Oryzias latipes: one gene and its partner. The main gene of each other region encodes a partner of the protein of the gene in region 2 in a complex. Links are inferred from orthologs where the notes say so. Each region holds a gene or a part of one and is shown on either strand. Other genes may lie near its edges.

Region 1 (4,250 bases), on a different chromosome or scaffold from region 2:
AGCATCAGAACCACCAAGATCTCAGAACGTTCATCCAGGGTTCAGAGAACCTCCTATGAAACAGCTGGATGGACCTCAGGACAGACCAACGTTCTCTGCTGGAACCAGAAGCGGGTGGTTCTCTCAACACCTGGGCTAACTGGACTGACGTTTGACGGCCACCTTCTGAGTCCTGTTGTGACGTCACTACAGATGTGGCTCGCTCGCAGACAGGTAAGATCTTGCGCGCCAAATGGGTTGAACTCCGCTCACAGGCCCCACCCTCACCTGGACTACGTTCTAGGCGCGTGAACCTTAATACACAAACCCACACGGCGCTTGGATCACGCATTAGTCACATGGTTAGCTTGTATTTAACCGCTAGCCTTTGATCGCTGGTTCCGACTGAACACACCTGTGCGCGTGGAGCGACGTTCGGTCCAGATTGTGGATCGCTTGAGGACCTCTAGCGCGGGTTAATCCTCCTGTTTGGTCCGTGTCGGCGCGCGCTTGTTTAGTTCCGGTCGTCTTCTTCTGCACTCAACTGTTGGAGCTGCACTGCCGCCTACAGGCCGCGGAGGGAACTGCAAGCTTTTTCATGAACAACTGTTATCACATCAGTTCTAATGAGACCAAAGAAAGCAGCCGACAGTTTGATGATTTTATTAACATGTCAGATCTTGTTGAATGCTGCCACGTCCATGGACTGAACGTAATCCTCAAAGGCTGTGATCTGCTCCTCCAGGATGTCCGTTCCCACCTGAAAGGACAGAACGCCGTTAGAACCTGAGGGGGGGGAGCCAGGAGGAACAGGAAGGAACCCACCTTATCGTCTTCCACCACACAGCTGATCTGCAGCTTCTTGATGCCGTAACCCACCGGGACCAGTTTGGCTGCAGAACCAGAAACAAAACTCTTAAGGTTCTGTCGATGCAGCGATTGTGGTCTGAACTAAGGGTTCTGCAGGGTCAGGGTTCTGAGTGTGCATCAGACTTCAGTCGAAAGATGGTGAGTAAATCATCATCTCTGCAGATCCGTGACTCTGATCAACGACCCATCGGTTCCTTACACTGTCCCCACACCAGCCCGTCCATCTGGATGCTGCGCACGCACTCCTCCAGCTTCGCCATGTCCGTCTCGTCGTCCCACGGCTTCACGTCCAACAAGATGGAGGACTTGGCGATGAGGGCGGGTTCTAGCAGAAAGGGAGGCTTCAGTGGGGCAAACAGAGCGCTACGTCTGACCGTAAGCAACGACCGTCAGGTGAAAACAGGTGTCCATCAGGCGCTCAGCCGAAAGATGGTGACTGGATCATCATCATCATCATCAGAGAACTGCTGCAGACTGAGCATGTGCAGACTTACTCTTGGCTTTTTTAGCGGCGTACTCGGCCAGACGCTGCTCCTTCAGCTTAGCGGCCTCCGTGTCCTCCTGCCGGACCACAATCACACAGGTGAGATGGAAGCGATGAAGACCTGGCTAAGACTGCAGCCTCACCTCTTCATCAGAGCCAAACAGGTCAATGTCATCATCATCTTCATCCTTGCTGGCAGCAGGGCCACTGGAGGTGGTGTCCGCTACACCCGTGGGGCCGTACTGACCCAGAGGCTTTTTCACACCTGGAAGACTGAAGGCCGGAGGTCAGCGTTGGAGGTCAGCTTTGGTCTCCGGACCCTCGCCTCGTACCACCACGTCCGCCTCACCTGTTCTTCTGGGCCTGGTAGGACTTGATGTGGTTGTACCACCGCAGGGCGTGGCACAGGTCAGCAGGGGGTGGAGCCGAGACGGCCTCGAACACGGCTACGTCCGCTTGAGAGGGGACATACCTGGAGACAGACCGTTGGTTACCGTGGGTCTAAACACACCTGATCCCCGCACAGGGGCAGGTCCAGACCGCCTGAGACCCGGAGAACATCTACAAGTGGAAGACGGGATCTCCTCCATCCAGCAGACGGGTTTAGGATCCCCACCTCCACAGAACTCCAGACACAGCAGCTCAGGACTGGACCTGGACCGGGTCAGACAAAGCAGCTCAGGACTGGACCTGGACCACAAAAGAACTTTGGTTCTTGGGTGTGGATTTAAGTCTACGGGACCCGCATCAACATGTGTCCAAAAGGTTCGTATCAGGAACCGGGAGGACCAGCTGCAGACCAAAGAAGCAACAAAGTCTGGGTTCTGAAGACCACGGAACCAGTGACAAACTACAAGGTTCTGTGCCCGGGTAACGGTCAGATCACCCACAATGCACCGCGCGCACCATGTAAGAGAACCAGCCATGTGACCCGCGGCACGAGCCAGCAGGAATTCTCCAGAACCCTGGCGGAACCAAAGACTTTGGCTGGCGCGTTTCTGCCGGTCAAAGCACCGAACCGATCCCGGGCCGTCCCGCGTGTTCTCGGTCTTTCTGCGCGGGTGTTTAGCGCCAAATGCTAAGCTAGCAGCTAGCATGGGTAGCCGGGCGGACCCAACATGGCGGCTCCGCTCACCCCTCGATGAAGCTCCGGTCCGTCAGGAAGTCGTTCAGAACTTTGAGCCCAGACGAAGACTTCAGGTCCCCGAACCCCATGACGAAGATGAGCTGCTTCTACCGCGACCAAGAGGAGAAAGAGGAGGGAGGGAGGACGGGAAACGCATTTATGCCGGAGCTCTGACTCCTCCTCAAGACTCCTCCTCCTTGGAGGAGGAAGAGGAGGAGGAGGAGGGGCAAGGTCTGCACCAGAACATACAGGTTCTAACTGTTCTAACTGGTCTCAAAGTTCCACTCCAACCCTCATCCGATGTGTTCTCAAACTCAAAGCGTCTTTAAATCCAAACCCCCTGTGGTTCTCTAGGACCTAGTGTCTGCAGAGCGGCAGGAGTTCATCAGACATTCTCCTCTGAGTTGTGGGCGGGCCGCTGGCGTGGAGCTGAGAGCTCTCTGTTTACATGCTTGCAGGTCTCTCAGCTGGTCCTGGCTGGTTTCGTTCTGTGTTCTGCAGTGGAACCCTGCAGGAACGTGGAGTCCCTCTAAGGCCCCCCCCCCCCCCCCCGGTGGAACAGCTGCTTTGGTGTTTTCAACACGTAGAATTTTCTCCTGATGGAGGACAAATGGAAAGAATACATGAATTTCTGAGGGTTCCTTTATCCAAATGAAGCAGCAGATGAAAAAACGCTGTTTCATATTTGTGATGCTGAACATATCCTGGGCGGGGCCACAAGCTTCATGCCCCGCCCCTTTCTCCCCTGCAGACCAACAGATCCATGAACGTTTTTGTTTTCCTGGAATCTGGATAAGAACCGGCCGGATGGATGGGTGGGATGCTGCTACCATTTTTAATGGTGTTAGATTGGGGCTGTAAGCTAGTGGATCTGGATCAGGTGGAACTGGAGGAACCCGGACATGTCTGAGAACTGATCTGCAGGGAAATCATCTCCTTTGCATTCCATCAGAACGGACAGGTTAGAGTTAAACAAACAACAGTAAAAGCAGTCAGACCTGAATGTCATGTGACCCGCCTGTCCTCATTCCCTGCTCCCATTGGCTTTCAGCATGAATGACCTTTACACACCTGAGTGAGTCGGTTTCATACGAGCAGACATGGGTCAGGCAGGATCGTCTTCCTGTCCTCAGGTGAGTCCATCTTCTGTCCTAAAGCTTCTGCACTGCTCAGGTGTCTTAAGGGAAATGTCCATTTGAGAGGGGCGTGGCCTATGCCATGTTTTCCTGTCATAGACTGTGAAGAGGTACATTACACGGTCTGTAGTTGTTTAGCCTGTGAGGAGGTAGAAATGCTCAGCCCGTCAGTATGTTTATAGAACAGAAGGGGGGTGTCTTGTTGACATCTCCGTCTGCAGACCGGGAGACGTTCTCTGATACCTACTGATAAAGAACAGATGGACGTTCTAGGTGTGGTTCTTCAGTGAGGTTTGTGGCTGAGGTCTTTCAGTTCCACCCAGGAACCCAGTTTGTCCTTCGGGCTTCTTTCATTACACATAGCAGGTTGATGTTGGACCAAGGAGGAACTTAACCTGTGTGGATGCTACAGACCACGTCACACGCACACACACATGCACGCACATATTCACATGCACACACACTGCCCTCTCATGTAAATGAAGTCCAGATCTTCCGGACTAGCAGCAATGCAAATGTGTCCTCTGTAGAGGACTTGTCCTCCGTTTGGCAGGACAACATTGTTTTTGGTAGTCGGGGGATCTGCCTCCTCTTCTGGACAAACATCTCTGAGCCTTCAGCGTACACTCCTCTTCCTCCTCTTGGTCTTAGAAGT
Region 2 (4,398 bases):
ACCATTTCACATTAACCAGATTTTGTCCCATCAATGCAAAATGTGAGGATGTGAAAGTAAAATAAAATCAGAGGTAATCTCAGGTTTAATGCACTGAATGCTTTTGATATACAACATGTGGCCACAGCATGAACCAGCCTTATACCCACTGAAATAGAGATGACTGGGATGAATGTGGTCTTTTCTTTCTTTTCCCCCGTCTGATTAAGACGTAATGCCATGATTGGACACAGTCTTGCCCAATCACAGGGGATAGAGTACTCCAATTACACGTTTGAAACCATCTATAACTACTGGTACAAAGTGATTGAATGCAACACTGGACACTGGGTACCTTTTTGGCAGGTGAGCAAAGGGATCCTTTGCTTTAGGCTCTGCAGCCAAAACAGCATCACAGTCATCCATTTCTTCTTCTGGGTCAGGCTTGCTCTCCTCCTTTTTCTTTTCCTTCTTCTCCTGGGGCTTGGCTGCCTCTTTTCCTCCCTTCTCTTTTTTGGCAGGTGCTTCCTTCTTAGGTTGCATTTCAGCAAACTTCTTTGCTAGAAGAAAAGCACGGCATGGATTATTCTATGAAGAAGATGCTTGAGTCAGATTATTAAAAAAAGTTGGAAAATGAAAAGATATCTTCATGTTATGTTTGGATTAACCAGTGACGAGCATGCACCCTGCATGACCAGATGTTTCTGCTTTATTCAAACTTTAGTAACCATGTTAAAAGTTTAAACAATAAAGCTTTCCGGGGGGAACATAAGAGATGTCAGTTCACCTTTGAAGCCAAATGTTGTGCAATAAAACTTATTGGTATACAAAGGGAAAATAGTTTTTAAATGAATCCAGGGTTCTAACAAGTACATTCTTGTTGACTCACCATCAAACTGTGCCATCTTTTCACACAGCTTGACATCCCCGAGGACGGCCTTGAACTGGGGCTGGTTGACACAGGTGACAAACCAGCGGGTCACGTTAACATAGGGCTGGCGGAAGGAAGGCTCCAAGACCTACAAAAGATAAAACAGGTCAGCTCATTTATGGAAAACACACCAGCTCAAATAATGCTGGAGGTTCCACTTAACACAGTGAAAAGTGTCAAGCTGCATACTTGTTTGTAGAGCCAGAGCAGGGAGCAGGCCACCGTGATGTCCGCAAGGCTGATTCTCTCACCCACAAGGAAAGTGCGAGTGTTCAGGTGTTGGTTCAGGACGGTCAGGATCTTCTTTACATCTTCTTTGGCCTGCTCTGTGGCCTACACACCAAAAAAAAAAAAAAAAAAAATAGTTTAAAACTTAACAGTTAGCCAGTGATTTAGAATCATGTCACAATAACCAAATAATCCAGAAAATAAAGACTTGCATACCTGCTTGTTGAACTGCATAATTCCCAAAGTAGGGAAGACCCATGTGCTTGCTGGAGGGATGATCTCAGAGTCAGCAAAGCTCACCCACTGCAGCACTTGCGCTGCTGCCTGAGGCGTGGCACCGCGCAGGGCATCATTGCTCACTGTAGGCCACAAGCCAGAAAAACAACCGGTTGATCTTTGAAAACCAAAAGCCTCATACAAATTCAAGACAAATGAGTTTCCATGGAATGAACAAAGCAGTTAGTGGATTTATGAAAACACGAAATTTAAACAATTCATAAAACCATACTGCAAAACCCCCAAATTTAGCAACATTTGCTAACAAGGCTTCACTATCGTTTTGCCTCAACTCAATAGAATTGATTTAGAGAATCTGGATAACAATTAAAGCAACCTGTTCTGACCGTTTAGAGAGACTAAGAAGTAAAAAAATGTGACTTACAGTAGTGAGCAATGGCATTACTCTCAAACAGACAGAAGCCGTCATCTCCCTGGTAGGCAGGTACCTAGAACCACAGGATTTGATGCTGTGTGAAACCCAACTAGTTAATGAGGAAAAGAACAAGACTTGAATGTGACTGAGCTGCCCTCACCTTGCCCAACGGGAAGTTATTAATAAAGGCAGGGGTACGGTTCGTCTGTCCGAAGGTGAAGGCAGGGGGGGTGCTGGCGATTTTGATGCGAGCACCACTGTACTGGGCAGCGATCTGGGCTTTGAAGGCCCGCCAGTTCTCCGGGTATGTGTAGATAGTCTGAAATACAGGAAAACTTCTATCAGCTTGTGACTAAATGTATTGAATCCATCTAGTTATGCAATCTCTGTGCACGTTTCTATGATTAAACTGCTTTAATGCAGGTCCAAACCTAATTTAAACTGTATTGTTTCATATGAGAAAAGGTTTAGACTGAGGTAATGTGATAACGATGCCAGCTGTAGCTAATCCTGGCTAATGAATGAGCATATCAGAAACGGAGCACTTTTAAAAAAGATTTTACCAAAAGTAAATACATATGGAATACCAATAGGCTGAAACGCCTCTTAAACTTAAGTGGCATGGTTACATTGTTTTAGAAACAAACTAGAAGTAAGCTAGCTTAGCGCGACTTGTGCTTTTTGTAAGACTAGCAAACCACATCTGATCTGTTCACTTATTTGATTGGTTCGATCAAAAGAATAAAGAGGATCTGGGGATTTTTGTTTTAATCATTCTAAAAAATGCGTCGGTCATAAAGTGGCATGGCCACGGAAAATTTAGGAGCATCATCCCCAGTCTCACGAAATATTGTAACGTGGCACAACCGAGTTAGCCATTAAACAGGCAGGATTGTTAGCGTCTTCTTAAATATAAATGACAAATAAACCCTCTACCAACTAAAAAACAGCAACATGGTCTAATGTGTCTATTAAACGACACAATAACAGAGCAGATGACATAGATACGAGACGGATTGTGACGAAAAGGTTGAAAGAAAACTCCATTGTTGGCCTCCTCTCCATCTTACTCACCCCTGCCGCCATCTTCAGGACGAGAGAAAGAAAGAACGACGGCGCACATCAGTGACGTATTTACGACCGTGACACGTGCCCATCCATTTTGCTGCGCACGTGACTGAGTTTTCAAGTGTTAGAAGATAAATATTGGACACTCCAACAAATACTTTGTCGACGTATGTGATTAAAAAAATGATACAAAGATAAACGAAAAAGTTAAATCTTTTATTACAAAGTACAAAAATGATACAACTAAATTTGAAGGTATGTATTCCACTTAAACCAAATTTATATATATATAAAAACACAAAACTGCAGAATTAATCTCTTGACACCAATTCAACTAACTAAAATAAAGAATGTTAATTTATTGGAAAAAAAACAGCAAGGCTTTGACTAAATCCTACCATAACATGAATATAAATCATGAAGTTATTACTACATAAATTGTCCCAGGTGGTGAGCACTCAGCTGAAAGAAATCAGCTCACGAGACCTTAAAAAAAAGAAAAAGCCAGGGTTAGTTTGATATAGAATCTGTAAACGGCATAATATATATATATATATATATATATATATATATATATATATATATACACACTTCATTATGTGCATTATTCTGTAACCGTGTGGACGGCCTGAGGATGACTAATTTGAACATTGTTTATGACTGACAACATCAGCACAATCTCCACCCGAGTTAGACAACAATTAAAATAATCAATTATAAATCGAACAGTGCTTCTGGTGTTCGACATTTTGACTGAGAAAATGCTTCAGGTTATAGAATTTTTTATTTTTTTTTAATTGTAGATGAACGAGTTGGGCTGGGTGGCAGTTTGGGTTACGCTAAGTTTGCCTTCAAACTTAAGTTAAAATTATATTTTTTATTCAGCAAAGCATTTGTGTTACCAACGTGTGAAAAGTGTTTTAAAAAATAATTTGATTTATGACCTATATCACTTAAGCATGATTATGCATATTCAATGAGTTTTGGTCCGTTTTATTTAACAAGAAGAGCAGCCTCTTTCGTGAAATTTATTTTGAATTCTTCTCTTACATTTGGACAATATTTTATTGCTTATTAATGCCATTTATATGCAATTTACAAACTGAAATCTGACAGATTTACTTTCTGAGTAATACCTTTTCAAATAATAATCACTGTGATTTAAAAATATGAAAATATTATTGACCAAATGTTACCATTAAATCATAATACTGCATTGAAAACTGTACTAAAACAAATGACAATTGTATACTGTGAGGTATCAATTGCGTTGAAAATGTACTGTTTATGGTAAAGAATCACTGAATATTTGGAAGAATTAATAAGTTATCTATTTTGTGAGATAAAGGAAGTTGAAGATCATTTTAAGAAGGTCCTTCATGTAAAACTAAATCCTAAACTTCAGTGTATAAAATGTTGTACGTATGTTTGAATATTAGAATTTCCAAATGCTGGCACTGAATGAATTTGATGACAGTTAAGAAAAATAATACAACACGAATGAAAATAAATTTTAATTTAAAATAGTAACCAAACATAT

The links.
Region 1: the proteins of eef1g (region 2) and eef1b2 are in contact, whole or in part, in a crystal structure (PDB 5DQS), measured with the Homo sapiens proteins. The link is inferred for Oryzias latipes from reciprocal best matches to the Homo sapiens genes EEF1G and EEF1B2. Residues at the interface, in NP_001395.1 of Homo sapiens: Leu146, Lys147, Thr148, Arg149, Thr150, Phe151, Glu155, Arg156, Pro185, Asn186, Arg189, Leu192, Thr193, Asn196, Gln197, Pro198; in NP_001032752.1 of Homo sapiens: Ala20, Asp21, Lys22, Ser23, Tyr24, Tyr28, Val29, Cys50, His51, Arg54, Asn57, His58, Ser61, Tyr62, Glu65.

Annotation. Positions count from the first base shown.
Region 1 is NC_019860.2:25,082,452-25,086,701, forward strand, and holds eef1b2 (elongation factor 1-beta), read right to left. Parts: upstream 2,673-4,250; 5' UTR 2,549-2,672; coding exon 2,469-2,548; intron 1,806-2,468; coding exon 1,683-1,805; intron 1,607-1,682; coding exon 1,477-1,606; intron 1,411-1,476; coding exon 1,344-1,410; intron 1,175-1,343; coding exon 1,049-1,174; intron 873-1,048; coding exon 805-872; intron 740-804; coding exon 653-739; 3' UTR 627-652; downstream 1-626. Other genes in the region: ADP-ribosylation factor-like protein 11, read left to right, coding at 3,560-3,592. UniProt on the Homo sapiens protein: Catalytic subunit of the guanine nucleotide exchange factor (GEF) (eEF1B subcomplex) of the eukaryotic elongation factor 1 complex (eEF1).
Region 2 is NC_019868.2:13,733,670-13,738,067, forward strand, and holds the start of eef1g (elongation factor 1-gamma), read right to left. Parts: upstream 2,954-4,398; 5' UTR 2,877-2,953; coding exon 2,865-2,876; intron 2,110-2,864; coding exon 1,951-2,109; intron 1,864-1,950; coding exon 1,800-1,863; intron 1,498-1,799; coding exon 1,355-1,497; intron 1,244-1,354; coding exon 1,100-1,243; intron 999-1,099; coding exon 869-998; intron 540-868; coding exon 335-539; intron 1-334. Other genes in the region: polr2g (DNA-directed RNA polymerase II subunit RPB7), read right to left, coding at 3,331-3,344. UniProt on the Homo sapiens protein: Probably plays a role in anchoring the complex to other cellular components.